6 linked regions of the Oryzias latipes genome follow. The protein of the gene in region 3 interacts with the protein of the main gene of each other region in a pairwise test. Links are inferred from orthologs where the notes say so. Each region holds a gene or a part of one and is shown on either strand. Other genes may lie near its edges.

The links.
Region 1: the proteins of cyclin-dependent kinase inhibitor 1-like (region 3) and bccip interact in a two-hybrid assay, tested with the Homo sapiens proteins (2 studies listed by BioGRID, with this or other methods). The link is inferred for Oryzias latipes from reciprocal best matches to the Homo sapiens genes CDKN1A and BCCIP.
Region 2: the proteins of cyclin-dependent kinase inhibitor 1-like (region 3) and spred1 interact in binary tests that used the Homo sapiens proteins (3 or more experiments, as listed by UniProt). The link is inferred for Oryzias latipes from reciprocal best matches to the Homo sapiens genes CDKN1A and SPRED1.
Region 4: the proteins of cyclin-dependent kinase inhibitor 1-like (region 3) and bag6 interact in a two-hybrid assay, tested with the Homo sapiens proteins (2 studies listed by BioGRID and IntAct). The link is inferred for Oryzias latipes from reciprocal best matches to the Homo sapiens genes CDKN1A and BAG6.
Region 5: the proteins of cyclin-dependent kinase inhibitor 1-like (region 3) and tex11 interact in binary tests that used the Homo sapiens proteins (3 or more experiments, as listed by UniProt). The link is inferred for Oryzias latipes from reciprocal best matches to the Homo sapiens genes CDKN1A and TEX11.
Region 6: the proteins of cyclin-dependent kinase inhibitor 1-like (region 3) and flad1 interact in a two-hybrid assay, tested with the Homo sapiens proteins (2 studies listed by BioGRID and IntAct). The link is inferred for Oryzias latipes from reciprocal best matches to the Homo sapiens genes CDKN1A and FLAD1.

The regions. Positions count from the first base shown.
Region 1 is NC_019877.2:11,824,391-11,829,587, reverse strand, and holds bccip (BRCA2 and CDKN1A-interacting protein), read right to left. Parts: upstream 3,353-5,197; 5' UTR 3,242-3,352; coding exon 3,101-3,241; intron 2,945-3,100; coding exon 2,870-2,944; intron 2,785-2,869; coding exon 2,704-2,784; intron 2,562-2,703; coding exon 2,475-2,561; intron 2,263-2,474; coding exon 2,075-2,262; intron 1,982-2,074; coding exon 1,813-1,981; intron 1,029-1,812; coding exon 858-1,028; 3' UTR 570-857; downstream 1-569. Other genes in the region: putative pre-mRNA-splicing factor ATP-dependent RNA helicase DHX32, read left to right, coding at 1-166; uros (uroporphyrinogen-III synthase), read left to right, coding at 3,389-3,418, 4,043-4,117, 4,195-4,278, 4,360-4,456, 4,552-4,626. UniProt on the Homo sapiens protein: During interphase, required for microtubule organizing and anchoring activities. During mitosis, required for the organization and stabilization of the spindle pole.
Region 2 is NC_019880.2:7,029,993-7,034,453, forward strand, and holds part of spred1 (sprouty-related, EVH1 domain-containing protein 1), read right to left. Parts: intron 1,025-4,461; coding exon 763-1,024; intron 1-762. UniProt on the Homo sapiens protein: Tyrosine kinase substrate that inhibits growth-factor-mediated activation of MAP kinase. Negatively regulates hematopoiesis of bone marrow.
Region 3 is NC_019863.2:2,307,817-2,311,720, forward strand, and holds cyclin-dependent kinase inhibitor 1-like, read right to left. Parts: upstream 2,443-3,904; 5' UTR 2,439-2,442; coding exon of another isoform or gene 2,430-2,438; coding exon 2,015-2,429; intron 1,563-2,014; coding exon 1,507-1,562; 3' UTR 1,462-1,506; downstream 1-1,461. UniProt on the Homo sapiens protein: Plays an important role in controlling cell cycle progression and DNA damage-induced G2 arrest. Involved in p53/TP53 mediated inhibition of cellular proliferation in response to DNA damage.
Region 4 is NC_019874.2:28,119,579-28,124,839, reverse strand, and holds the start of bag6 (large proline-rich protein BAG6), read right to left. Parts: upstream 3,511-5,261; 5' UTR 3,386-3,510; intron 2,628-3,385; exon of another isoform or gene 2,626-2,627; 5' UTR 2,619-2,625; coding exon 2,538-2,618; intron 2,453-2,537; coding exon 2,335-2,452; intron 2,095-2,334; coding exon 1,880-2,094; intron 729-1,879; coding exon 657-728; intron 562-656; coding exon 439-561; intron 373-438; coding exon 182-372; intron 1-181. Other genes in the region: glrx3 (glutaredoxin-3), read left to right, coding at 3,562-4,542. UniProt on the Homo sapiens protein: ATP-independent molecular chaperone preventing the aggregation of misfolded and hydrophobic patches-containing proteins.
Region 5 is NC_019868.2:11,387,019-11,391,936, forward strand, and holds the start of tex11 (testis-expressed protein 11), read right to left. Parts: upstream 3,233-4,918; 5' UTR 3,115-3,232; coding exon 3,072-3,114; intron 1,911-3,071; coding exon 1,798-1,910; intron 1,473-1,797; coding exon 1,388-1,472; intron 1,260-1,387; coding exon 1,180-1,259; intron 1,097-1,179; coding exon 1,016-1,096; intron 911-1,015; coding exon 791-910; intron 575-790; coding exon 494-574; intron 405-493; coding exon 319-404; intron 226-318; coding exon 168-225; intron 59-167; coding exon 1-58. UniProt on the Homo sapiens protein: Regulator of crossing-over during meiosis. Involved in initiation and/or maintenance of chromosome synapsis and formation of crossovers.
Region 6 is NC_019874.2:18,343,796-18,348,956, reverse strand, and holds the start of flad1 (FAD synthase), read right to left. Parts: upstream 3,216-5,161; 5' UTR 3,013-3,215; intron 2,928-3,012; 5' UTR 2,861-2,927; intron 2,120-2,860; 5' UTR 2,036-2,119; coding exon 2,028-2,035; intron 1,900-2,027; coding exon 1,752-1,899; intron 1,278-1,751; coding exon 900-1,277; intron 701-899; coding exon 587-700; intron 503-586; coding exon 235-502; intron 21-234; coding exon 1-20. UniProt on the Homo sapiens protein: Catalyzes the adenylation of flavin mononucleotide (FMN) to form flavin adenine dinucleotide (FAD) coenzyme.

The sequences.
Region 1 (5,197 bases), on a different chromosome or scaffold from region 3:
CTTCTACAATCTGCCTCCTAGTGAGAGCAAAGACATGCTGCAAGTTCTGCTGGACTCAGACGGATGCAGTAACTGCAAAGAAAAGACCCAAACTGCAAGAATGAGCGGCGATGCAAACAGCTGCGCAGCTGCAACTCAGAGCCATGACAGATGTGCGATTCAGTGACCTGAAAAAATACTCCCAAGTTGTACAAAACATGTTTCAATCTCCACAGAGGCGGCAGTTTTCACCATTTAACCTCCAGCTGGGTAAACTAATGCTCTTGTATGTTCACGTCTCATACTTGTAAATTGTTTTTTCTGCTTATGAAAAAAGTGATTTTAATTTGTGGGCATAAAAAATGGCTTTAAATAATGTGTTTAAGTATTTTAAGCACCCCCTGTCTGCATTATAGTCAAAATTATTGGTCAGTCAACCGAATGCTAGCAGAAATTATTTTTCTTTACAACTTTGCAACATGTATCCAGATTATAGTAAAATGGACTTCTGAGGTCATTTTCGGATTATTATTAACTTTGGAGTGCTAAAAAAAAACATGATGCAGTAAGAAACACGAAAACATTTTTTTGCTTTGCCTTTTTATTCATTTAGAGTCGTTGACAAGTTTTTTTAATCAAAAATATTACAGGAAAATAAAACCGTATCTGAGTCTTAAAGTTTTTTTTGCAGTTTTTCCAACCAGTTCTGTAAAAATGTGAAATTATGATGTAAATTTTGATGCTGAGGAACTATAATAAAAGCATGAATAGTTCAGCTTTAGTAAAACATTTGCAACAAATATGGTCAAAACCATTCTGTACATAGAAATGAAACCATGTTTTCATGAGCCTGCAGTGGTCTGGACTCGTGAGCTGCGTCACACAGTCAGGTATTCTTTCAGCTTGTCCATGATGGCGGGCATTCTGTCTGCAGGTATCAGCATCACTGTTCTGAAAGGCTTCATGGGCACGTCGTCGAATGACCACCTGCCGCTCAAACAAGAGTCCGCCTCTTCCTGGACCGAGTAATGGAACTTCAACAGTGCTTCCTGTTGAAGATGAAACAGAAGCTGAAAACCACACTTTCAACACGCAAGCTACTTTTAAAATAAAGTAGTTTGTTGACTCTGTGTTCGCAGTTAACGGCACCGCAGCGCACATGGCAATTAGCCGTGTGCAATCTGTTTGGAGTGACTGACTGGGTATGGAGTGATTTTAGTGCCATTATTCCAAGCGCAACACTCACTGTTTTGAGGATAAAATTTTGTGCGGTCAAATAATCTTTTTGTACCTTAAGAGAGAAAAAATGCACTTGAAAGACAAAAATGTGTACAAACACAATTTTAGTCTTCAAACAGATAAATATGTACAAACAAAACAGTTTTCACTTGGGAGAATTTCTCTCTTCTGCGCTCGAAACAAAGTAGGGCACCGCGTTACAAATGTGCCCCGAAAGCCAGCCAATCACAGACATGGACATGATGGTTGACATTGAGTGGTCAGAAATTCCAATCGTGCCCAAACCTGATCCAGCCTGATCCAATTAGCTCGCAGATCCAGTCTCTGAGCTGATTGACTAGTTGACTTGTGATTTTCAGTTTCAAGATCAAACATTGTTTTGTTTCAGCATATTTTTGAGTTTCAAGTGCGTTTTTCTCAAAATGTGCTCAAAGTTTTTGAGCACACACAATTTGTAAAGCTTTACGATCAAACCAGTGAGTGTTGCGTGTGGAATAATGGTACAAAAATCCCTCCATAAGTGCGAAGGAATGTACAGTGACAGATGATTATGAGGAGGTTTGATTTGCTGTTCTGCATTTCTGCAACTTTTACCTCATAAAAAAATTCCTCCTCAGCATTGACAAACATGTAGTCCTCTTTAGGAACTCCTCCTCTGGACTGGATATTCTTAGATGCTTCTTTGCAGGTCTTGCTAATCATCACGCAGTAGTGGCACCTCCCACTGGGCTTATTAGTCCTCTGAGCGTCAGCTATCTCCTCCCTAAAATTGAATGAAATACATTTCAAAATTGCTCCTGAAAATATTTTCAATATACAAGATTTAGGTTGTCAAAAAAGTTAAAATTGAACTGACTGGAGTTGTTTATGCAGTGGGAGGGCGATCTGTGGGGGTACGTTGATAAAACGCTCACTCAGCAGAAGCCCAACGGGCTTATTGGTGTCATTGAAGATTTTCTCAAGCTGTTCTGTCAGAGCATGAGGAGCGTTCTTCTCACACTGCTCCAAAATCAGCTCCTTCACTTCCTCCACACATTGCACACCCTGAAAAGAATGATGGACGCCAGATTTTTAGTCAAAATTAAAAGAAAAAATAGTTTTTTAGAACATAGTTTTTGCAGAGCAGCAGTAGTTATTTAGAAATTCCCCTCTGAGTTGGTGTGGAGTAAGCCCATCCCCACTTCCCATCATCAGGATAATGTTAAAAACACACACAAAAAATCATATTTTCCCCCCATTGATAAATAAATTCTTACCTTTCTCTCTGTGAGGTTTAGCATAGAAATAAAACCGAACACTTCATCTGCATCTTCATCATCACTGTCTTCTGGAACCTCAGCTTGCTAAAGCAGTGGTGAACCAAGATATTGTCAATTAAAGCCACGAATGAATGAATGAATGAATGAATGAATGAATGAATGAATGAATGAATGAATGAATGAATGAATGAATGAATGAATGGGAGGGAGGGAGGGAGGAACATACCCTGATGACACTTCCAATGTGGTTCTGCTGGATGATCATGTCTGTCAGCTCTGATGTGTTTACATGAGCTTTCAGGAACAACTAGATCCAAACATAGACAGCAACATCAGTGAAAGCTTTATAACACCCCCTACAGCCTTAACCAATGATAAAGACTACACTAAACCTGCTGCAGCAGCTTTTTTATGCCATTGAAGTCGTTGTTTGACATGGTGTGAGCTTCAAAATCCACGGTGACTTCCTGAAAAGGTGTAAACAAAAAGGGAGAAAATAATTTATAAGATACTATGTAAAAACCAAAACATGATGTGAGCAGATTATCAACCATCTGTTGACATTGCTAGCGTCTAATGCTAACTGGCTTTGCTAACAAGTCTGGGTTGGTGCCATAACTCACCTCGTTAATTTCTTCTGATGCGTCGCTGTCCTCCTCTTCCTCCTCGGAATCCCCATCATCCTCGGGATTCTTATCAGAACTCTCGCTTTCCTCTGGGTTTTCACCCAAACCTACTGCTCTCTTTTTTGCCGAGGACGCCATGCTGCACCATGAAACACGCGTGTGTCATCTGAAGTAGGCGGAGCTAGTCGATGGAAACAGGAAAGAAACTAGTGTCGGGAAGCCGCCATTACGGCTCCTGACTCCGTTCATGTCAGCTGCCAGTGGATCCGGTTTGACACTAGCAAAATGGGAAAATACCACTGCAGTTTCTGGGGGGTGAATTTTTTAAAATGTAATTTAATTAAAACAGTTAACTTATCTAATACACTATGATGTTTAAAATATAATACATATCTAAAAAATATACATGTGTAAATAGAATACAATTTTTTTTAAGAACTTTGTTGAGTGAATGAAGAAGTTTGGTCTTTGTAGCTCCCCCCACCATACCCAATGATTGATAGGACCTCGTCGCTAAAAACAACTCTGACTGCGTTTATTATTTTTTATTTATTATTATTTATTTTTGCATTGTTTCTATTACTATTTTGAGGGTAAATTAATGGAGTAATTACCTAAATGTCACCCACATTTCACATAAACAGGAAGCTAACTGGAGCTGCCTACGTCATCTGCTGCTTCTTGCTAATGTAAACACTTCGACTCCGAGGATGAGTTACCCATCGGCACTAAACAAAGTATCTCAATAAATTGGTTTTGTGTTTATAATAATGAACAACCCTCTAACCGTGACTCAGCAGCTTCGTTATCAGGAGGCTGCATGTAACAGCTCAAGGGTGTAGCTTAGCTAAATCAGATCCTAAACCTTTCTGCAGTTCTGCGAGTCCCAACTGTCTTTCTAGCATTTTCCCTTGTTTATATTACCATTATTTTTGAAAGGACATCGCCAGAATGCACGTGTTGCTTCTGAAAGAGCCCAGAGAAGAAGCTTCTGGACCTGATCCATATCTTAAGGTAGATGCAGGTTTCAGTGTTCTGGTAAAGTTCTGCATTAATTATAGTGGCTATATTTCTTTGATTTTATTTTGAAGGAGCTGGCATCACATGGACACAAAGCTACACTAATTCCAGTGCTGTCATTTAAATTTGTCTCATTAAACACATTGGCTGATAAGGTAAAGCAATTATATTTACATATATATTTATACCTGAAGTTATTAGATATCGATTGTTTATGATTTTTGTTTCTTTTTCAGCTTTTTCAGCCAGAAAAACATGGAGGCCTTATATTTACTAGCCCCAGGGCAGTGGAGGCTGTGAAAATGTGCTTAGACGCAGAAAAAAGAAAAGAAGGTAGAATATCACAAATAGAATTAACATTTCTGTTCTTCTGCTAGGCTTACTACTTCAAATAAATTGATGTAACATGTAATCATCTCTTGTTATAGAGTGGAACAAGTCTCTGAGAGATCAGTGGAACACCAAACCCATCTATGTGGTTGGAAAGGCCACCGCTGCATTAGGTGAGTGATCAGGTTTTTTTCTTTTTAGGGTGTTTTGCGATCCATGAAAACCAAATATATGCCGAGTGTGCCAGGCACATGGAGCTCACACTCTTATGTTAAGTGATCTGAGGCTTTAGAGCCAATTGTGCACAAGTAATTGTTTGCTGCCACACACTTTGAAAAGAATAAGGTGAAAGGAAACCAGGTGCAAGATGTTCCTAATGTTTGCTCCACTTTTACCACCAGCTGACCTTTTTTTATTTCTTATTTAGTTGGTGTTTGTGTGTTTTAATGGGATACAGGAAGCAGGTAAAAAAAAATCCTTAAATTTGTCCTTCCTTTGACCCAAACCTAGAGATACAAAAAAAAAATGTACATAAAAAAATTATCTGTATTTCAAGGCGGGGCAGAACATGACTCAAGATCCCTTTAAAAGTTGGTAAAATCTCATTTAAAAAAATGATAGGAAGTCAGTAATGTCTTATCTTGAAGTGTTTCAGTGTTAAAAACTGAAACTAATCATTAGTGCATCAAAAAATGTATTACACTTAAATGACAACCTCAAAAGAAACTTTAAACTAAACTGAGA
Region 2 (4,461 bases), on a different chromosome or scaffold from region 3:
GACACACACATGTTTTAGTGTGTCCTCTAGCAGTCATTGACAGAAATGCTTTTCTATGAACCACAGTTTTCCATTCACACCTTTTCCTTTGCTACTAACACATACAAATATAAACACATGGAGTGAATTGAAATAAAAAAAATGCTACTTATGATGTTTTAAAGAAAAACTTATCTGTTTTAGGATGTAACCATTTCTTTTTACCTATGAGGCCCTCTTTATGTATTCATCAAATCCCACTTACATCCTCCGACCTTATAGACAAAATTACTTTCTAACAGATGACTCCTATCTGCATTTGTTTTTTAACTCCAGGATTTAAAGTTTCTTTTATAGTAACATAATCTAAAAGAATAATCATTGATATTTTTAAAAAAATAACAGTCTTCAACCAACAGGACAAAGGCAAAGTTACTGATCCAAGCAACAGCCTTACAAGGGAAGGAGGATGAATGTAAAGTGGTGGGGAAATGGTGGTGTTTTATTTGAATTCTTTTATACTTCATCCTTAGCTTTGTTTCCTGATCTTTGTTTCCCACATCCATCTACCCACATTCTTTTCTTGACTAATCCGCTCTTTTTCCTTCATGACGTCATGATGCGTCACACATTTATTTTCAGGAGGAAAAAAAAGGGAGGAGGAAGGCCAAAAACACTTCCTGTGTGTTTGAGAGAAAGATGGGAGTCTTGTATAGTGAGGTTTCATGCCATTTCTTGCTCATACAAATATTCGCAGAACATGCATGCTTAACATTTTCTTACCAGTTTGTCCTTGAGCCTTTCACCCTTGATGTGAAACTCCACAGCAGTGGGACTTGGACTAGGGCTCGGACTCGGACTAGGACTGGAGCTACACGGGCTTAGGTTGCTGCCACTCTCACCGCTGTGAATGCTGCCATTGTCCTCTGCACGGCTAACCTTGTAGACAGTGACACAGCTGAGGCCTCCACCTCCCAAAGGAAGCCACCCACCACTGGAGTCATCCCGAGTCATGACCACTGCTCTCACGCGCGCGTAACTGTCACTATATGGGAAAGAGGGGAGAAGATAAGAGGAAAAATGGGGTTAGTTTCCAGAATGAAGAACAGCCAGCATATGTTGAGATTTCTGTCAGGAATCTTTTCTTTGATTTGATCATTTAGACCACAAAACTGTAATCACAAATAAACAACCTACATGAACCATCAGCCCACATACTGCAGCTGAATCAAGCACAACAGAGCCTTCCCAAAACACAATTTTTGGCATTTCAAAGCCCCATGGAGAACTTCCCGTACAAATGCGAAAGTCTCAATCATAACACAAATACTGGATTTTCTATATTAATTATCATAAAAGCAAATTAAGAAAACAAAATTCTAATCTAAACCTCCAAACATAACAGGCAGTTTTGTGATTTTAATATAGGAAACTGTCACTTTAGTAAAGCACAAATTACCTGTACATTCAAATGGGAGATAGAAAAACTATTTCTAGTTTAAAAAGATTCTGCAATGTAAGAAAATGTTCCTTTTTACCTTTTAAACATTTACAAAAGACTTAAACTACTTGCCAAAACATTTAAAAGGCACAACAGCTTCTGATTAAAACTGGTGAGTACTGATTTTCAAATATAATTTGTCCCTTGTATGCATCAGATCAACTGACAGGATATTAACTGTCTAAAACCGAGTATATTAACCCCAGCCAGAGGGTACTGACCATGTGGTCAAGTTCAGGTTTTGGCCAGTGCTGATTTCCAGCTTTCCCTCTGAAGCGAGCTGTTTTAAACCAGATAGCACACGACTTGGTCTCCAGCTTGCTTTGACCTCTTTCCCACTATTACTGCTCCCTGTTGGTTCAGTGAGCTGTCGGTTATTTCTGATGCCCTGACTTCAGTAGATCTGAAGGTCACCAGGTAAGAAAATGGTAAGAAAATGTCAGATCTACTTCAACTGTTGCTTATTATTTGTTTTACTCTATCCCATTTCCTTAGTGATAGTATTTGAGCTTCCTACACAAGCTAGTCCACTCCAGCTGTAGTCTGTAGTTTTAATAGCAACGTTACCACAAGTTTTAGAAAGTCTGGTTTAGTTAAAAGCTTTTGGGGGGGGGGGGGGGGGGGGGGCAAGGAATTCTAATTATTTGCTACCACCTTCAGAGTACACTAGAAGACAAAAATATGATATCATCATATTTCTAAAGGAGAAACTGTCAGTCCAAAAAATGTCAATTACTGATACAATAAAGGCATCATGGAATGCTTCATGTGGTAACAACTTAGGAAGCCTGGATACCGAGGACTTTGCCTAAATATTTTCAACTATTAGAAGAGTGGCACGTGTAATGTGTGTGAATTGTAAAATTTCTGTTTTTTATCCTCGTGTTTATTCTGTCACCCCTGACTTTCCTGTTGTGGCCCTGCTGCCGTGAAGTTGCTGCCCACACAACTGTCTTTTATATACTCTATCTTTCCGTGTTGATGTCCATCCATAAACACAGTATTTTTTTTTACCTCGTATTTGGTTTATTTGGTGGTCCTTTCCAACTTTACACAAACATGTGCAATCCACACATTATAAGACAATTATTTGTAACCGTCCATCCATTTTCTAAACCTGCTTTATTCGTGTTTGGGGTCACTTGGATGCTTGAGCCTTCCCAGCTACAGAAGGCCGAAGGCGGGGTACACCCTAGTCAGTTCCCCAGTCCATCATTGGGCTTGTTAAACCATCATTAGTTGTAATTTAAAAAGTGTAACTTGTGGGTCTGCAATGTGTCACTTCAGTTTTGGCTTGGACTCATTTAAGAGTATGTAAACCATTAACATAGGAACCAAGATGAAAATTGTCTTGTTTGGCCAACAGATCACACCAGCTGAGAAACAAAGGCTGAGTCATCATTGTCAGCAAACCAGGCATTACCTTTACACAGGCCTGTGTCATGTTGTGTGAAGAAAATCTCACAAATCGTTCTCCTTTCTCTTTTATGTATTCATTTGTGAAACTTTTTTTCCTCTAAGATGAAAAAAAAAGGTATGCCAGAAAGAAAACTTGTTTTAAGAAAACTAAGTACACATTAATTTTTATTTTTAAAGAAATGCAAGACTAGAACTTACAAACAAACAAAACTTTGTTGGAATTTTCAATGCTATAATTTTTTGCAATGTCATGTTGAGGTTACTGAGTTTGCCTTTTTATTTACTGAGATCTGGTGCCTTTATTTAACAGTCCGTGAGGGCAGAAAGGTGTGGGTGGACATGCAGTAAGGACTGACAGGTTGAGACTCAAACCTGCACTGACTGAAATAAGGACATTAGGCCTCAGTACATGTTACACCTCCCTAGTTACTTGTGCTAAAAGGTGCCCAGAGTTTTGAGCGTATCTGACAACCCAAAGTTGATTTTACACAGACTTAGCGTAAGGGCTTGCAAATTCTTTGTGATGAAAGGATAATAATCTATAGTCAAATCTGCGGAAGACACATAGGTCATTTTAAGATTTGCAGACATTCTTTAATTAAAAAAAAAAAAAAACAATAAAAAAAGTAATCAACATTTTTTTACTTTACAATCTGCACGGTATATTCACAACATGAAACCCCTTATCTCTGCTACAATGTTTAATGAATTGCAGTGTTGCAGAACAGAGCAACATTTCTGTCCACCTCTGTGTTCTATCATGAGGCTGAAATGGAGGCAAAACAAGCCTCAGGCAATCAGGCAAGCAAAAGTTGCAAAACAAGCCACTCTTCAATAAGGGGCCAGCTATCACTCAGCTTATTCCATGTTGCAAATTTTGCTTTGCAGCATTGTTCTGCCTATCTGGTTGGTGATAAGTAAACTACTAAAACAAGCAGCAATGTTTAAACAAGATTTTTTTTATTTCTTTTTTTTTTTTAACCAACATATGTGCAAAAGTTTCTGGCATGCAACAACATTTTAAATGCTTTTCCCCATTAAATGACAATCAAGACAATTTCACAGGATTCTGTTATCCAGGCCAACAGAGCAACTTGTATGTGGGTAACACATGGGTAAAATCAAAACCCAGGACGTGGAGGAATTTTCTAGCCACATCAGTGCAGTGGACAGATCCATCAAGGATGGCTGTTTATCATTCTTGGACTATTCTGTACATATTAAAGAATTCGGTAATCTGAACATTGAGGTGTGGAGGAAACCCACCAATATCTCATGTTTTGACTTCCATCACTCACTTGAACATAAGATAGAAGTAATTAGAACATTAAAGCACGGAGCAGAAACCATACCAACAAATTCAGAAAAAAGCCACAGCTGGGATATCCAGTGCCTGCTAGAATAAAACAGAGAACCAGTAACACCACTGATTACTAACATCCAAATCTAGTGCAGATAATTTTTTGTGTAATACCTGACACATTATATTTAAAAAAAAGCCATTTTCAAACACACAAAATAAATTGAAATTAAAACCTATCTAATGTCATAATTTAAAAAAA
Region 3 (3,904 bases):
CAGCTGCTTTGAGATCATCAACCCACTCCTGCCGTGTTGTTTATTACCTCAACTCCCAGCACGAATAACCCAACAATTGTGTTGAAGAAAATAAAGGTGTGTGTAGAAAAACACAGATAAAACTCCTTCAGCGCTTCATCACCTCTTCCTCTCCTTGGATTGAGTTAGGATCCAGAAAAACCATCAGCCTTTTATTTCAGATTTATCACGGATCCACACAAACACGATGAATAACACAATAAATAAGAGTCGACTCCTGAGGAGCTGAAAAGTGATCGCATGACCAGAAGCATCAGCAGAAGTGCATTGGGGCAGGTTTGCTCTTTTCGAAGCCGTCAGTTCATACATGATTAAAGTGACCTTACATGACTCTCATCCAGATTAGGCGGAGCAGCAGGATTTGCTGGACAGATATGTCGTTTACAAGCGGAGAGCAGTAGTTCCATCCATGACACCTTTGCTCCTGATGGAAAAACCTTCCTCACGAATACATTTGGACCTGAAAATACTGTTCCTGATCGTCCTTTACGCACCTTAAAATACCTACAAGTACAACTTCTGTGCAATACTGCAATGTTTTTAGATTTATACTACTCAAATACATCTGATATATGCTGAATATATATCTATAACCCTTGTGCTATCTAGTAGGGTCCAGATGACCCCACTCCCAACGTTAACATGCCTTGGGAGCACGTTAACGTTGGGAGTGGGGTCATCTGGACCCTACTAGACATATTGGCTTGTACAGCTCACCGTCTTGTGGGGTCCAGGTGACCCCAGTTGGAAGTGGGGTCATCTGGACCCCACAAGACAGTGAGCTGAACCTTTTTTTTCAATGTTTACATGAAATCCTCTCCACCTTTATCTACATTTCTCATGGTAGGGATAACACGTCAATGTAAGGGTGGGGTCATTTTGACCCAACAACATAGCACAAGGGGTTAATGCTCCAAAGAGATAAATTGCTACACACTGAACATTCATAATCCAGAGCCATTCACACGTCAGGACAGAGCAGCAGATGAATTTGACGAATAAGAGACAGGACATGAAGGGAAATGCAGGTTTGTGGTTCGTGATGGAAGCAGAGCGTCTCTAGACTTGGAGACGTTGAATCTCTTTTTCCCAATAGTTCATATAAAACTCTTCACTTCAGCATAAAAAAAGGGGGGACATTGTGATTTTAACACATGCTGTACATCTTCCTCCTCTCCTGTGGGTGGGAGCCGAGATGTGGAATGTACAGCGGCGAAAATGTCTGTCATCACTTTGGCAACCGCTTGATCCAAATGAGGATAAATCCACTGATTCCGTGGATTACCGTTAATCTTCTCTGCTCAAATGTCCCCTTCTTAGCCCAGGGAAAGGCACCGATCCCCCCCCACATACAGTAGCCTAATTAACTGAGCAGTGAAATGTAGCTGAACCCCTCCCGAGTTCACAGGTACGGACTCCTGCGGAGGGCGTGGCTTCTGAGTGGGGCGTGGCGTGTGCGCTCCTCCGTCACTCGCCCGATTTCCGCGGCATCCAGACCATTCGTCGTTTAGCTTGGTAGAAATCTGCAGGGATGAAAGCGACACTGAGCTCAGGGGGAATCGGTGCAACGACACAGACGCAGCTGAACGTTCCACTCCCATCATATTTTGAGAAAAGCCTTCCCTGTCGTCTTTTGATTACGATTATGCCTTTTTTAGCCAAAATGAAATAATCTTGTCGTCACCTCTGAGATGTGGGCGGGGCATTAGCTCAGAGTAACCCCGCCCCTACCTCCCATTATCCATCTATTTGTACCCTCTCTAGCTGGCTTACAGCCCCTCACATTACTCTTCTAGCTCAGACGAGGGACTAAAAAAGTTTTTTGGACCTATTTGTCTGTAAATGAATGCAGATACTCTCTTTTTCTAACATTTTTTATCTGCTTTGAACAATTAAATACTAAGCTTTTCTTTATAAATGTCCTCCATCGTCAATAAAGCGTCATAAGAACACGATTCAAAACAAATGAAAGCACCTGTGATGTTTGTCTGTTTCCTCTTCATCCCGGCCTTCTCCTCCTTCTCTGGTGTTTTCTCCACGTTGAAGATGTTCTCTGTCAGTGGGATGTTCTCCTTCTCCCTCTGCGGCAGCTCAGATCTTCGTCTCTTGGGGGGGGTCCTGGTCTCCGCCGTCTTCTGGACCCGTCCAGCATCCTGACAGCGGTACAGCAGCGGCACTCCGGCCCCCGGGACGCTCTCCCACAGGAAGTGGCTGCCCTCCAGGGGCTTGTCGGAGCGGAAGTCGAAGCCCCAGCGAAGGGACGCTTCGTCCAGGTCTTTCCGCAGGGCGGCCTGGTACTCCAGCTGAAGCTGCTCCCGGTCCACCGGGCCAAACAGGTTTCGCCTCGCGGGCCTCCTGGGAGCGGCGGGAATCCGCTTTGGAGCAGCCATGGTTCTGCACTGTTTGAACACAGAACACTCCTGGTTAGATCTCAGATGTCATATGATGATGAGATGGATCATGTAAAGCAGTAAAAGAGTCAAAGAAAAACCCAAAGTGTAAAAAGTTCCGAGCTCACCATGACTGTTCACTCTACAGACCATCAGAGAAAAGCAGAGCTGTGCCTCTCCTCTCCTCCCTCCCTCTTAGGAGAGGCTGAATCATCGGTACATGCCTGGACATAATCTGACAGGCCGACAACACAGAGCCGCCACTAGGGGGCAGAGTGGCAATGACAGATCCACCACCAGAGGTGTCCTTCCACCTCAGTCTGCATGACAGACCGCATCACCCTGAACAGGACATTTTCCTTTTTAGGAAAAAAGGAAGTCCATCCCAGGCCAGGCTGGTTATCCAGGAGGACAAAATAGTCCACAGTAAAGCTTGTTGTTTTTTTTTTAAAGAGAGCAGAAAATGAGGATAGACAGCAAACAAACCCCCAGCAGCTTGTTAGATATGATTTTATTATAATACATAAATTAAAAATGGTTGTTCCTGTTTTTTTTTTGTTTTAAAAAACACTTTAGAAAACAATTTATACCAAAAATATGAATATTTTCCTTTATCTGGTTTAAAACTATTTCCAGTTCTTTAGTGATAATGTTTAAATTAATATTTAGGTTTCTCCACATTATAATCCCGCTGTTCTTAAAGCTCAGACTGATGGATATTGACATTAAATATCTTATTTTTGAATGTTTTGATTCTTCCATTGAGGCTGGAACGGTGATCTAGCAGAGTAACCCAGACTTTTCATGACGTCATAGACCGACATAAAGCTTCTGTTGTCTCTTCGGGGCGGGGTCACTGGGGGCGCGGCCGACTCCCATCGGGGCGGGCGTTCAGGCCATGGCGGGAGAGTATGAATCCGGGTTTGGACCAGCCCCGTTCGGTTACTACGAGGCTCCACGTGAACCTGGAGCACGTGTCCCCCATTCAAACGGGGCTGTCACCGCCGTACTCACGCGGAGGACGCGCGCGCGCATCAAAACACCCTAGATAGGACTTCTGGAAAACTTTTTTTTGATTTAATAAGTTACCAGGAAACTTTTTTAATTCATATAACCAGAATGTTGGATCAACGACGCTGAAGTTAGCATCCGATTCACAGCTTCCGATTCGCGAGTGCACTAAAGGAGCATTCCACTGTTTTTTTTGCACTAAGATCTCCTTAGATGGGGTCCGGTTCAAAAACTGCTGGACCTAGACTGCTCAAACCTGGATTAAATTATGATTTAGATACTGAAGAATACATTAAACACAGTTTCTGATTTGTGAAACCTTCCTCTGATTTGTGAAAATGTGAAATAGGTTGATTTTTATCGTATTTTACGCACTGAGTCCACCTTAGACCGGGTCCTGTTCAAAAACCACTGGACCTGGACTGCTCAAACCTGGATTAAATTATAATTTTGACACTAAAGAA
Region 4 (5,261 bases), on a different chromosome or scaffold from region 3:
TTCAATATTTTGGTGGAACCTCTAATGTTTAGTCTAGAGGTGTGGGGATAAGAAAACTTATCAGCTTCTCAAATCAATAAATCGTTGGTTTTATGAGCTGATCACTTGTTTAAACAGACGGCCTTCAAATATCATCAAACTAAATAAAATTCTCGTGAATCTTTTGAATTCAATCTCTCACTTGGGTCCTGGCTGTGGAGTGGGTCCCTCAGACTGAGCAGAGAAGGTGGGTGGAGTTGTTGGAGGAGGTGAGGTGTCCATGGGCTGAGTGGAGGGAGAAGGGGTGGAGCTTGTGGAGGAAGAAGAGGGAGGAGGCGGAGCAGCAGCAGAGGCCGTCTCTGATTGGGAGGTTTGGGAATCGCTCTGTCGACCCTAAAAACGACAAATGTCAGTGAATGGCGGTTGGGAGATAAAGACTCCTGTGGCGCAGTGGCTCGCCTCCATCCTGCTGATGACATCGTTGAGGTCTCGCAGCAGATTCTCGGCCAGAACCAGCCTCAGCCTGGGTTCGCTCTGCACCGGCTGGTCCATGTCGATGTGAACGTTTACAGACCCGTTGCTCTGAGAGCAGTCACAACAGGAAAGAAAAGGTTTTTGTTTCAAATCCTGTTTTTTGACGAGCTTTTAAAGAATAGAAGGGAGCTTCTATTACTTACTCCAGTACTGGCTGTGACTCGAGCATTTCTTGCATTATCTCCCATTCCAGAGACCATCTGCTGAACAGACATCTAGGAGACACAAGAATCACACAGCTTTAATGTACAGTTAGTGTCTTTATTATATAAGTATTATATACTTTATCATATCATTGAGTAATTTTCGGCTTAAACCACAGTCTTCAAGCAATCACAAAGTGGACTAAGAGTCATAATTGCAATTGTTATTATTTATTATTTTACTTTCTCCCTCTTTGAGACCTAATTAGACCCCTAATATGCATGAAAATCCGCAAAACTGATTCAAAAATTTGTCATAAAAAGTAAACGATTTGTTCTCTTCCAACAAAAAAAACTAAGTAAAATTGGGCCAGTAAAACCTTTTTTTTATATATATATATCCCCTAAGAAAGAGCCATCCAGTAAAAATCATTAAATTTCTTTATGCTCCATCTTCACTGATGTCATGGACCATGGAATGTAGAGGAGCGGGTGGGGTTTTACTGTGGCACCATTTTCAGATGGGGCTGCAGAGTTAGAGGATGAGCATCACGCCTTAATCCTGTTCTGTTGCAGCACAGGCCGAGGAGAAGCTGCTGGGGGCAGCAGACAGACCTGGGGGGCTGTTGATGGGCCCATGGTGCAGGGTGGCAATGGTCATTCAACAGTCGTTGCAGCTTTAAATGTATTTGTTTTTAGGATAATTTAGCAAACCCATCAAGATGACATGAACAGAGTTCATATGCCGGAGTCTCTAAAGTCCATCTTTGTCCATTTTCCCTTTAACATCTCCACACAATATGATCGGACATAGTGGAAAATGCTGAGATGAAAACAATGCAGAGATCACACAGAACAATTCACTTGTGCTCTGCGTGATAAACCGACTACATCTAGATGGTTTTAAAATCTGAAATCAATCCCTGTGGTTTTATTTTCACTTTGAACGAACCCATCTGACTTTCATGTCATTTTGATCCAGAAGACTTGGTCCTTTTAAGAAAAATTTCCTGCAGGTTTGTGATCAAAGGTTGTTAACAAAAGCAGACAGCCTCATGGCAGATTGAAGGCAGCCGTTTAGAAAAGTAATGTTTCAACTTGACTGAACTCAGATCTTCATGCCGAAACACAGAGTTTAGTTGCCCTGAGCAACTGGAATCTCGTCATCTGTTGAGCAGTGCTGCCTTCATCCCTGACAACGCACACCAACAATGCAGACCTACCTGTATCTGCTGGGGGTCCATGATATTGACGGGGAGGTTGAAGGTTCCAAGCATGACATAGCTGTTGGCATTGCGATCGTGTGGAGGCACCTGCGATGCTCCCTGGGAGGATGAAGACTGCCCGCTGTCGGCTGCGGTGGCCCCTGACCCCGAGCCAGGCTGGGAGGGTGGAGGGGGGGCCCGCTCCACAAGGTGAATCACCTTTCCAGCCACATCTACAAGAGTAGCGGAGAATATGGTCAGCTAAAACAGAAGCAGTGGCAAATCAGCAGAAAGAGCAGATGGAACCAAAAACTAATTCAATGACAGAATTTTTACTTAAAAGAAATAGTTTTGAAATGCTCCTTGGTGGTGTGATTGAAAGGAGGCAGAAGGGATGTTCAGATGGAGAGACTCCCTGAAGCAACAAGCTGAAAGGTTAAGAGGAGGAAGATTTAATATATCCTTTGACTAACTGTAGTCTGCCAGCGTCCTTTCATCCTGCAGTACTCTGCCCTGGTAGATGAGCCTCTGTTTGTCCACAGGGATGCCCACTGAAGGAGAAATGTGCTCTTTGAACTCTTTAACTGTCAGCTGCAAAACAATGGATCATTTCAGTCAGATCATAAAAGACAAAAGGAAACTACCCAAATATTTACAGCAGGAACTTTCCATTTACCTGAGCACCGACTGAGTAGGTTCTGCTCTGAGAGTCCAGAGTTTTGACCGTCACTTCTATGTCTGAGGTTTGTTCATCCATAGCGTTCCTGCAATTGTATTACATCTTCAATTACAAATTATTCTGTTTATGTGACTTTTTAAAGTGTTTGTACACTTTTACAAAAATTTTGATAAGCACCAGGTTATTTAACAATCTGTTCAACAAGCATGGTGCGTCCACGGCATGTTTATAAGTTTATGAAGAACAGTGAGCGTAGTTTCCAATTTTTCAGCAATCATCTAGATCACCTCTTCTTTTTAACAAACAGGCAACGTTGAAGTGAATTTATTAACCAGCCTTTAGTCTAGAAAATAAAATCTCTAACTAAGGAATCCGGATAACTACAATCAGCTGAATTATTTAGCTCTAATTTAAAATACATTATTAACTGAGCTATTTCCTAAACAAGAATTTTAATAAACATACAATTAACGTAAAATAGCATCTATATCTTTATGTTAGACTCAGTGGGTTAAATTTGATTTAATGCTTTGTTTTTTTCCCAAAGACGGACTCCCTGTACTAGCGTTAGCCAAAAACAGTTAGCCCGGCTGTATTCGCTAAACAAGGACAGGAGCGATGTAATATTAAACTAAGATTTAGGACAGACAGTATAACAAAAGATAGAAAGTAACATATCGCCACTTGCTCTTCAGCAGGATTACTTTTTTTAGGAACCAAATAAACGCCGACTGGCTAATTAGCCAAACAGATTAGCTAAAGATGCTAACTGATCTGTCGTGTCGCTACTAATGCTTAAGCGCAGAACATTCCGTTTTTTATGCGTCACACCGTCAAACGCTTACCTTTTAAATCATACAATGTTTTTTAACGTATCCAGAGTCCACAGGAGGCTCTTATATTCAGAAAGCCGAGCACTTCTCCGGTGCGTCGCGGCTATGCTACAGCTAACAGCTTTTAGGGCTGAACGGATGTGACGTCAGAAAGCCGCCGGACTGCTGTCGAGGTCAAAGAAGCAAAGATGGCGAATGTGCTAGAGGCGACGAGCCGACAACAGTTCGAGGATTTCCTTGCAAAAGCTGGAAAAAACCTCGCGGTTGTACATTTCCAGGCGGCATGGGCTCCTCAGTGCGGCGACATGAACGAAGTGATGGCCGAGCTGGCCAAGGCACACGCGCACGCGACGTTTGTGAAGCTGGAGGCGGAGGCTGTTCCCGATGTGTCGGAAAAGTATGACATATCCTCCGTCCCCACTTTTATCTTCTTCAAGGGGGGTGAGAAGGTGGATCGTCTGGACGGGGCGCACGCTGCGGAGCTGACTAAGAAGGTCCAGGGCCTGGCGGGTAGCGGGCCCGCCCCAGGAGGAGCCGCGGACGGCGGCGCCGCGGACTTGAACCAGCGGCTGAAGAAGCTGATCAACGCGGCGCCCTGCGTGCTGTTCATGAAGGGCTCCCCGCAGGAGCCCCGCTGCGGCTTCAGCCGCCAGATGGTGGCGCTGCTCAAGGAGCACAGCGTCCAGTTCAGCACCTTTGACATCCTGTCAGACGAAGAGGTCCGTCAGGGCCTGAAGGCGTACTCCAACTGGCCCACCTACCCCCAGCTGTACGTGAACGGAGAGCTGCTGGGGGGGCTGGACATCGTGAAGGAGCTGGCCGAGTCCGGGGAGCTGGAGACCACCTGCCCAAAGGCCGTGACCCTGGAGCACCGCCTGAAGGCCATCATCAACCAGAGCCCCGTCATGCTGTTCATGAAGGGCAACAAGGAGGCGGCGCGCTGTGGCTTCAGCAGGCAGATCCTGGAGGTCCTGAACTCCACGGGGGTGGACTTTGACACCTTTGACATCCTGTCGGACGAAGAGGTCCGTCAGGGCCTGAAGGCGTACTCCAACTGGCCCACCTATCCCCAGCTCTACGTGAAAGGGGAGCTGATCGGGGGCCTGGACATAGTGAAGGAGCTGAAGGAGAGTGGGGAGCTGGAGTCGGTACTGAGGGGGGAGTCGTAGATGGACGGGGAACAGGACATCACTGCACAGGCCTGCACCAGCTGCTGCACCCCTCAGAGGTCCCAGGAGGTCAAAGAAGCTGCTCGTCGGCTTTGATCGTGGGAAACGTTCTTCTTTTTTCACAGACTTTCAGATGACGTGAAGCTGCTGACTCTCCATCCTCATCTTTATGACAAGAACACCACCAGAGAAGCTGAAAATCTACTCATGTTCACTGCAAATTCCAGCCTATAATAAATTTCCCATCAAAATAGAACAAAACGTTTCTATTTGTTTTATTTTTTGCCTGTAAAGAGGTGAACTGGCTGTAGTAAACTGAGTTTACTTTGAAATGAGAAAAAAGTTTGAACAGAGCTCATGCACTAAAGCTCACACTCAATAAAATTGTTAAAAGCAGCAGCATGTCACGTTTGTAATACATGTGGTATAGTAAGCACGTGTGACAGGTTTTCTGGCGCCACCTTGTGGGCGTAAATGTAAAAGCACCAACAGTATCAGGGTTCTGGAACCTTTCACATTAAAAGAACCCAGCAAGAGCCATGAAGTCCAACTTCACTGTTATAAAAAAAAACACTTTATGTTTTTGTGATCATTTATTAATTCATTTATAAAATGTAGCTTTGAAATATTTACAATTGCATTCTAAAATGTATTGTTTTATACACGTAATAAAATTGAATCTATTTTACTTTAGACGGCAGCACATACAAGTTCCTTTC
Region 5 (4,918 bases), on a different chromosome or scaffold from region 3:
GAAACTTCTCACAGTCCCACTCTAAATAACACGTGGCGAGCAGCCGCAAAACTTTGGCCTGTTTATGAGTGACATTGTAAATATTTTCTTTTTCTTTTTAATGACTTGTTCTCAAAGATTAGCATTCCTGCTGCTAACTCTATTCATTCTGTCTTACGGGGTCTTACCAGAGCTTCTGATCCTGGACCATATTTCATGTTTGCTTTTCCAATGTCATAGCTTTGGCTACAAAAACAAACAAGGAGGAAGAGATGCATTTTTACCCTGGATTTTTTTATTTTATTACTTTTTATCAAACCACATTAATAAATCTACTACCTCAGCCAAAATGCACTGTCTTCAAACTTTGTCAGATTGTATGCCTCGATTCCAAAGTTGTAACAGACAACTGAGAGGTACGCCGTCTGTGATGAAAGCTCACACTTAACACCCCCCTCACTTTCAACAACATGTGCTTTGAATGTAAGAGAACAGTAAGGTAGCTGTGTTTTACTTCATTTGGCAGCCGCAGCAGTATGTCTTTGCATCGCTCGATGAACACTATGGCTTCTTGGTTGTTCCCTTGAGCGATAGCCTGTAACAAAGATCAGATTGTGTATTAAATGAAGGGAAATGAACTTCTCTCAATTAGCTATTTCAGAACCCCCCCTTCATTGTTTCTCAGTCACAATTTTACTGTCTTACACTTCACACTGCAAGTCTGTCAGAACAGCACCTCCCAAGCTGCAAAATATCACAAGAACAAATATTCACATTTAAGGTGTTGAACATCACATGCAGCACTGCTCACCGACTCAGCCTGGCACGACAGGATCCGAAGAAGGTCCTTCTCCACATCTGCCTTGGATGACAAGATGTCAGGTTCGTCATTGGCTCTGGACGTTAGCTGGCGGTAAAGGGTTTCCAAGCTCTAGGAATATACCATGTTGGATCATTTGTAAAAGAATAAAATAATTCCATCCTTCTCCTTTCAGCTAAAAACATTTCCAGATTTTATCCAACGTTTCTTTCTCACCTTGACGGCAAGTCTCAGAAAGTGATCTGCCATCTGAAAGTTTTTGCAGTTCAGCCAGGCTCTCCCTGCTTTGCTGGCCATCTGGAAGGATAAGATATCAACACACAGGCCTTATCCTCCTGAAATGCCAGGCTATAAAAAGGAAAACCTCCAGAATTACTTACCAAGATTTGTTTTCGAAAGGCGCCCTCTGTTGGACTGTCAGACTCAAAGCAGTACAGCAGGTTGCATGCAACATGGCGAACTGATGATGATAAAAAATATTAAATGAGGCATTAACCTTGCCTGTAATCCCCATAATTAGGTTTGTGTTTTAGAAAATCAAGAAAGGTAAACATTTAAAAACTATACAGACTGCAATTGGAAGAATACCTTTAGCTTTTTGGATTGCAGTTATGGCGTTTCCCACATTCTTGGTAACAGCCCAGTTCCACAACTGGACGGCACACTCCTGAATCTGTACCAGTAAAACAAGACACTAAAAACATGCCAATAACTTATATTATTAGACTTAAGCATTCAGTTTTACTACTAAAACTACTAAAAAGTAGTTAAGCTATAAAATAATTTCGAAGTTGCAGGTTCAAGATATGTTGGGATAGGGGGAAAAAATGTTTAGCTCCACATGAACATATAAAGTCAGAATTCTGAGATTAAAGTCAGAATTTTCTATGCCCTTTTTTTTTTTCTTTCTCCATGGCCCTAATCCTCTTCTGTACATATCTGTCCAGGACTATAGACTATATTAAAAATAGTACAATCTAAAACGATTGATAAATTACCTGAGGATCTGGTATTTTGAGAAAGGAATCTAAGCCTGAGACTTCAGAGAAAAGCTTCTCTATAACCTCATCGCAATCTGTTAGATCTTTCTGCTGTAAGTTTTCTGTGAGACCTGTGAAAAAGCAGAACGTTTGAAATGAATAGACACACTAAGAGTAAAAGATGTTCAATAAATATATGTGACACATCCAATAACTGCTCCCCTTGACAGTAACTTCTAGTTTGCCATAGCAGAAAAGGGTTCTGGCATATGCTTGTTCTCTTATGCTTTTAAGATCTGTGAGGCGGCAAGTTGTTGTATATGAAGCTGATGCAAATTACACCCTCCACACTTTTAAAAGTGGGTGTTAAAAAGAATTCTGTGAGTGAAGTTCACAGTCAAAGCATAATGGTAACTGTTATGTACACTTCTAAGTTATTTTTGTTGCTGCAAAGCCTCAAATCACACTTTTTTTAATAACTAGAGACATTTGTTTTTAGTTTGTTCTATTTTTGTTTTTTTCAAATCAAGCTGGACAGTGAAAAAAATTACTTGCCCTTTTTTCTTAACAATTTCCAAAATATTGATTTCTGCCAAATGTTCTTTATCGTATTTATCCAGGATTGAGCAAAAAAAAATAATATATATATATATATATATATATATATATTATATACACACACATATATATGCATAAATGTGTGGGTAACAGAAACAGACCCTCCAGCCCCCTGAGGCATAATGCTCCCGTTTTAAAGAGTAAAATGATAATTTTGTTAACCAATTCAAAATAATAAACTTTATTTATACCCTAAAAGTCTTGCCAGCCATTGTTCCACAACAAAAATAAAACCAAGCATGTCTGTCTGTCATAAAAACAGCTTCAAGATTCTCTTCGTTAACTTTAAAATTGCTCTCATGATTTCTGTATAGATTTTTCTCTGAATAAACCCAACATTTATATAATATTATTTATGGCAGTCTGCATGTTTTTTTAAGGTAGTTTTAAAGAAAGAAAAAATATAATTAATTTGTTTAAAAAATAAAGCAAACATTTTTTTCACTCGGACAAAGGCTAAAGCTAAGGTAGGATTTATGTGCTTAATTCATTTCATTAAACTAGCTTGACAAAATAGTACATGGCCTAGCAGATGGTTTAGCTAGGTTAGCCCCAGTTATATCGCGATATAACTCATTGATTACCCCCTACCCCTGCTGATGACGCAGTTACAATTATTTATGGTTTGTATCTGTAATTAGCCGTGTAATGTAGTTGAACCGACTTATACTCACATTTCACAGTCGAAATAAATTCTTCCATTTCGAAAGCTTCCATAAGCGGGATTGTCTGGAGGAGATGTCTCACCAAAGGAGAATTTACAATCGCCCGAAAATGCCCGCGAAAACGAGGCGGACGTTGACGCCACGGAGTTCGTACTATGTGAGGTCAGTTAATGCTACTTCCTGTCTGCGGACAAACTTTAACATTAAAAGAGCCTTTTGGGCAAGTTTCTGTGACCATTGACTGTAAATGCGGACCAAAATCCATTTAGAGCCGCAAAAGCTCACTTTATCAATTAGAAAATAGAATTTATTTATGTAGTTTTCAAATATTTACAGTAATTTAACTATAACAGTGTTATGTTTTTCTGCATTTATTAATTGTAACTTTATTTACTTTTGACAAGATCCTTTCAAAATAAAACACACCCTGTGTCAAATAGGATCCTTTGCTACAGGAGATTTACTTAAATTTAAAAAGATAGAAAGATAAATCCAATATAACATTTTCTATTATTATGATTTTGGTGGGCCTTCATTTTTTTTCCTTTTACTCTCAAATATTAAACCAGGCAAAACAAATCTATATAATGTAAATATAAACTTCTACAAATGTTCCTCCATGCACTTCCTAGGCGTTTCTTCTCTTTAACCACACACAATAGATTAAACCTTTTACTGTCATGATGCTCAGTTACCTGACATTTTAAAAATCTAAAAATAAATGACAAAACGTAATTAACTCAAAATAATCCTGACTACGACAAAACCATTATTTACGCAAATTATTAGAATTTTTTCAAAGCCAAAAAGCCATAATGTAGGGACAAAGAGCCACATTTGGATTTGGAGCCTCAGATTCAGACTCCTGATTTAGGCCTATTGACTACTAGGCTATATGTTAAAAGGGTTTAAAAAAGGATATGTTATTATTACTATTTTTCTTTTTTGATGTTATGTGCTAGTTCAATTGATAAATAAAATCTATGTTACAAGAAAGCAAATATCAGGTAAGATATACAAGGTAGAAAAAAGTAGCCATCATAGTGTAGGTAATATTTGCTTTCTTATATTCTGGCTAGATGATTAATTTTTTATATATAAGTATTCTTAAATTAGCGTTTAATGTAAATAAATAACAAAATAAATACAATGTAAGAAATAACATGGAAGGGCTTTTATTTTGATAGTTTTTTCTTTCCACTCAAAGACAAAAACTCATACACAAACACACCCATACACAAAAAAAATAATCAAGAAAATAATGTTTAAGACCAGCATGAACTGAAGGTTCAAACGTTTGCCGTTGTGTTGCAATCCAGAGATACTCAGGAAAAAATTAAAACAGTCTTTGGGACCACTTGCTCAAAAACATTGATGATTAAGCCATTTCTGAAGCTTTGACACTTTATTGAGAGCAAATCTCCTCAAACAAGGAAAACACAAGAACAGTTGTGATCCATCTCCAGAGTGGCCTGTTGAACAAATTACCACAAGAGTGCAGTAACTTATTCAAGAGATGTCAAAAGACCCTGCTATCTTTGAGTAAATAATCTAAGGACTGATTAGATTAAAGTCAATCTTTTCTAAAAAATACATTTGTCTACAACATTTGGTGTAAAAGTAACACAGCACGTGAGAAAACAAACATGTTACAGTGGTGAACCAGGAAGACTTGCTGTGGAACCACAGCTTCCAGTGTCTACCAACAAATCCTGAAGAGAAATGTTCTCCATCTGTTTGACTTTAATCTGAAGCACACTGGCTGATCCACCTTTTAATGCCTTAAAAAGGACAAAAAAGTCTTGCAGGAAGAAAATAGAAATATGGTCTTAAACACACTGAGGTTCAATTAACTA
Region 6 (5,161 bases), on a different chromosome or scaffold from region 3:
TTTCACTCCCAACATAGTAGCTGTAGAAAAAAGTTGGTGGAACGTTATTTTTAACTTTACATACATTTGAATAAGCAAAATTATCCCAGTGTTTCTTTTGGATGCTTAGGAATATTAATTAGGTTCAAGTTGAAGCCTTTTTTCCTCTTTCCAATCGAAACAACAGTTAAACAAAATGGACTATGGTTCCAATATCTCCCAAACCGCCACATTTACAGCCTCTGTCACCCTCACCATCGTCAGCCAGTTTGTGGACCTCAGTAGGGGCAATGGACACCGAATCTCTGACCAAAGTTACAACGCTACCCTTCGGCAGCTCCTCCACCAGCTGTATTCTGGCTTTTTCCACCTCCTCCAGGCTCTCCGAATCCAGGACCAGTCTGACTTTGCTGTAGTTACTCAACCAGTCGGGGTAGGACCCAAGAGCCACCCTTTTGCCCCAGCTGGCCTGCAGTTTGGTCAGAGTGGGTGCGATGTCTGTCTCATCTGCATCCACAAACACCTTACAGGACAAGTTTGGTTACCCCTTTTTGCCCTAGTAAAACACATGAAAATCCTTGAATGACTTGCATGATGATGGCGTTACCTCACGACTGTGAAAGGTGGTTCCTGAAGTAGCAAAGAGCTGTTCCAGCCCCGTGAAGGCCCTCTCCATTAAAGCCGGGATCCCAGGGAACACATACACATTACGCACACTGACCTGTGAGAATGAGCATTCATACAAGAAAAACAAACACGTCTTCACCACAAAAAATATCCTGACCTATAAGAACTTCTTAAAATCATGAAAATTTTTATCTGAACCTGACAAGATGCATGAAATTCATTTTCAAGGATATTGAAGAAGTGAATATAAATTACTTAAAGCTATGAATCCCATTCTGTAAACATTAACATACCACAGGGTAGAGTTGTGGTTTCCCAGTTTGAGGATCCACTCCATAGTTGAGTTTGGCAGAACGGGGCACCTTAGCCATCTTCATGGCCGGACTGTTTTTGTCCGTCCCCCCAAAGAATTCCTTAACCAGCAAGGTGAGATCCGGATGGTGATACATCTCCTCTTGGAATGCCATGGCAATGCTTTCCAAGGTGACATCGTCATGGGTGGGTCCGATGCCCCCCGAGGTGAACAGGTGTGTATACTGAGAGGAGAGGAGGGCTACCTCTTTGGCTATGACCTCCTGTATATCTGGTATGACGGTTATACGCTGTACAGAGACGCCAAGTCTGCGAAGTGCTTGTGTTAGAAAGGTGCTGTTGGTGTCCACTGTGTAGCCCTGAAAAGAAGACAAAGTTTGACTCTAGAGTTTGCAGCCACACACACAAGTGACATTCAAGGACTACAAAAAACTCCAGACCGCCGCCTGATGAAATTCAAGGAGTCACAGTGAGCGTATGCTGAGAGTGAGGCGTGACATTGGACGAAAATCAAAGAGCTCATGTTTAAATCATGATCATGTCAAGTCAAGGAGTTATAGTCAACTTGTCATTTTAAATATGAAACATCACTGCCACATCAAATAACCATCACAAGGTTTTCCTTGGATCTTGAAATGGGGATCTGAGACGGGATAAGAGGCCCAAAATGATAACGACTCACTGCACATGTTAATAACATCAAACATCGTTTATTTAAGCCGTATTCAGGAGGCAGTTGTGCGTGATCTTTCAAGAAGCGAGCCTCTGCCACTCATTCTGAGGTTGAAAGCAACACAAAGCAAAAATATCAATCAACAACAAAAAAACCTCACCTTTAGAATCTCATCTCCAATGATAAGAATGGCTGCAGTGGGAGCCGCAGTGGAGCTCTGCCTCTCGGCGGACATGGCTGCTCTGCTGAGTTGTGCCGTCAGCCTCCTCACACGCACCCCCGCTCTACTTAAACTGGGCAAGGAAAAGCTGGGAAGAAATGTGTGACGTATAAGTGTTCAACTCCAAAACAAATTCCAAACCATCTCTTAAAAGTCGCCTTTAAAGGCTAAAATTAGTCACTATATGTTCCTTCATGCACAAACAACAATGCTTACATAAACATGGATCCACACAGACCACCCAAAAAAAGATCTACAGCAGTTCAGACCCTCTTTCCCTTCATGATTCCTATTCAATTAGGGGGTGTCTAGGGAAACAAAAAACATAAGAAGAAATAAGGGCAAAGAGCATTTAGAAAAACGAATGTAGTTCTGAGATTTTGAACATCGGCAATTTTTATTTAAAATGCAAGTCATGTAATAATTTGGGTCAGAAATGCTATTGTCCACCTTCAAAATCTTCCATGGAACAACTAAAACAAAGTCAACATGGACTTTCATAATTATGCTGCAGTATCTAACATAAACCTTTATTTGTTGATGTTGCTAAAATTCATATTGCCAATTTGTATTATACAATAAATTTATGAAATAAAGAAAACGATCACATTGTAAGTCTGCAACGTTGGAGACCCAGTTTTTCTTTACTGTGATTATTTTCTAGTAAGTTACAGAGAGAGTAGCAACGTTGGACACAATCTCAGTCTTATGTACCCTTTACATATTATTTTTTTACACCAACTTAAATACAGTTATGGACAAAGTTCTGTATTTTTATATTTTAAAAGAAGCAACTACTTTGGGGGAAAAAACTAGTGCCCGCGTTAAGGACTTTCAAATGTACGCTAGTAACTCTGAAGTCTTCTTGCTAGGTACTACTTCAACCTTTGGAAGGGAAGTCAACAACATCGCATTATTGCTAAAATACTAAATACCTTTTTATACTATTAATATAAACATTTGCGATTCTCAGTTAAGATGCGCTCGTAGTGTATCGAATTTGTAGTCCGGTATGTGAACATTATGTCCTTAATTTAAAGGTAACTTACTGTTACTCTGAAGCCGCATATGTCCTCGTTATGAATCCCCACAGCTGTGACGACGGTGGCTCAAGCCCTTTTGGTCCAATCACAAAAAGGAAAGTGACGTTAACAGCCAATGACTTTCAAGGGGCGGGTTTTAACGTTATGCATGTTCTTACAATATCCGGAAGCACGATAACGGTGATCGTCTTAGTTTGTCCAGGTGGTGTGAAGCTGTAGTTTGACTGTACCGAGAAAGGCATTGCATACGTCTGGTATCTAAAAAGTCTTTTCCCCCAGATTTGACGATTTGAGCTACTGTCAAGCTGACCGTCGCGGAAGGATGCGAGGGACGACTTCTTCGAAGGGGAGAGAAAAGGACAACAGCTACTCTCGCACGCCCCTAGTGGCTGGGAGGATCAAATCGGAAATTTCTGATCAGATTATCAACCTTGAAGATGATCAATCCGGAAATGTTGATGGCGCATTTTTGTTTATGTAATATTTTCTGTAAAAAGAGGCGAAATTTTAGCGACGTGTTGAAGGTTTAGTGTCTATTTTAAAGACAGATAAAAAAAAACCTGACCTACATTTAAATTATTGCACAACATTAGAATACAAAAAAACAAACTTTAAACCAAATTGATCATGTTGAGCAGTTCAGTGTCCTTGTCTGTTTCCCCCCTTTTTTTATTCTTTTTATGGAATTGTCAGATTACATTTTAAAAAAATTTTAGATGGTAATTTCTAAAATGGAGAATCAAGGATGTGGAAGTCAAATCTGAAAAATAAACAAAAGGATCCTGTCTTTTCAAAATTAGTCCTGGAGTCTTTATGAGAGAGAGAGAGAGAGAGAGAGAGAGAGAGAGAGAGAGAGAGAGAGAGAGAGCAGATGCATTTAATAAATGTATATAAATAAATATTTAATTAATAAATAAAATCCAGAGCATCTCCAATTTGCAGCAGTAACGCAGGTCAATAAAGGTCTCCTTTATTGTTGTGAGCAGTCTCTTTAAGTCTTGGGTTTAGATTTTCTTTTGTTGGCATTGTTTTGTTGCTTTTTAAGTTTCATTACTTTATTGCAGTTTGACAGAATTTACTCACAAAGACATCCATGACTGCAGTAAGTTCTGTCCCAGCAGAGGCTGCAGTGAGCTGAAGAAAGGTTAGTTTATCTTACACATCACTCATGTATAATAGAGTAGTAAAAATAAAACCTGCAGATATTCCTGCAGATTGATCAGTTTTTGACCTGTATAATAAAAGGTTAGCCTTCACTCTCCTGACAGACGACCAGCACCCATCGTTTATTTAAACCATCAGTTTTACTTCTATTAATGTGAGGACACAGGGCTAAAGTTTTTTTAGACTATGAAACTTGACAAAAACATTTTTAGAAGAGCTTTTCTCAGTTTTTGGTTATAAATAAAAATAGCCGTTCTTCCTCATGAAGTAATACAATATGAAGATGTTATGTACATGTTGCTGCTGCAGTCTAAACATGATGTTGTTTTTGTAGATAATCAATGTAATAAATCTAGCTATTTTGTAAAAAATAATCTATTTTTTAAAAATATTAACATTATTGTTATATTGTTGCAGAAATGTGTCCATATAAAGATGTTATAAAGTTATTTAGAAGGGAAAACATACAAAAAAAGGTGGGGGGGGGGCTTTTCTGAGTGTTAAATTATTGAATATTTTCGTGCACAGACGGATTCAGGAGAAATAAAATATCTGCCCCACAAAACACAAACTTGGGCGCGCGCCCACGCGAACACGTGCGCACACAGCATCTGCGAGCGAACAGATGACGTTGCCATTTGTTCGCGGAAGTGCCGTGTGTCGTGACCATGGAGGGGGTGAGACGGGAGGGGGAGGAGGAAGGGAAGGAGAGACTTGTTGGGGAAAGAAGAAATTGAGACCTACGAAACTAAACTTTCATTTTTATTATTGTTTTATTTTTGGGCGTCCGGTGAAGGGAACCGTCGACGCTCTGCCCGGGTGTATGATAGTTAGCTGAAGTTTGTGTAGCTGCAATTGAGGGGGGGTGGGGGGTTTGGAGGGGCAGACGAGGGAAAGAGAGGAAAAGAGCTGGTAAGTAGCTCGTAAAGTTGACTGACCGCACTTTTTTGGTGTTGTGGAATGAAGTGTACGTGCGGCTGTGTGTCAGTCTTCCCTATTGCTTCTATGAAAAGTTTAAATAACTTGTGGTGTATTTGTGGTTTTCGCGGGTCAACACAACTGCGTTTGTGTTCCAATACCTTTTTTTTATAACCGAAAGGGACGTGTGCAGTTAGTAAAATATTGTTATTTTCCAGACGTAAT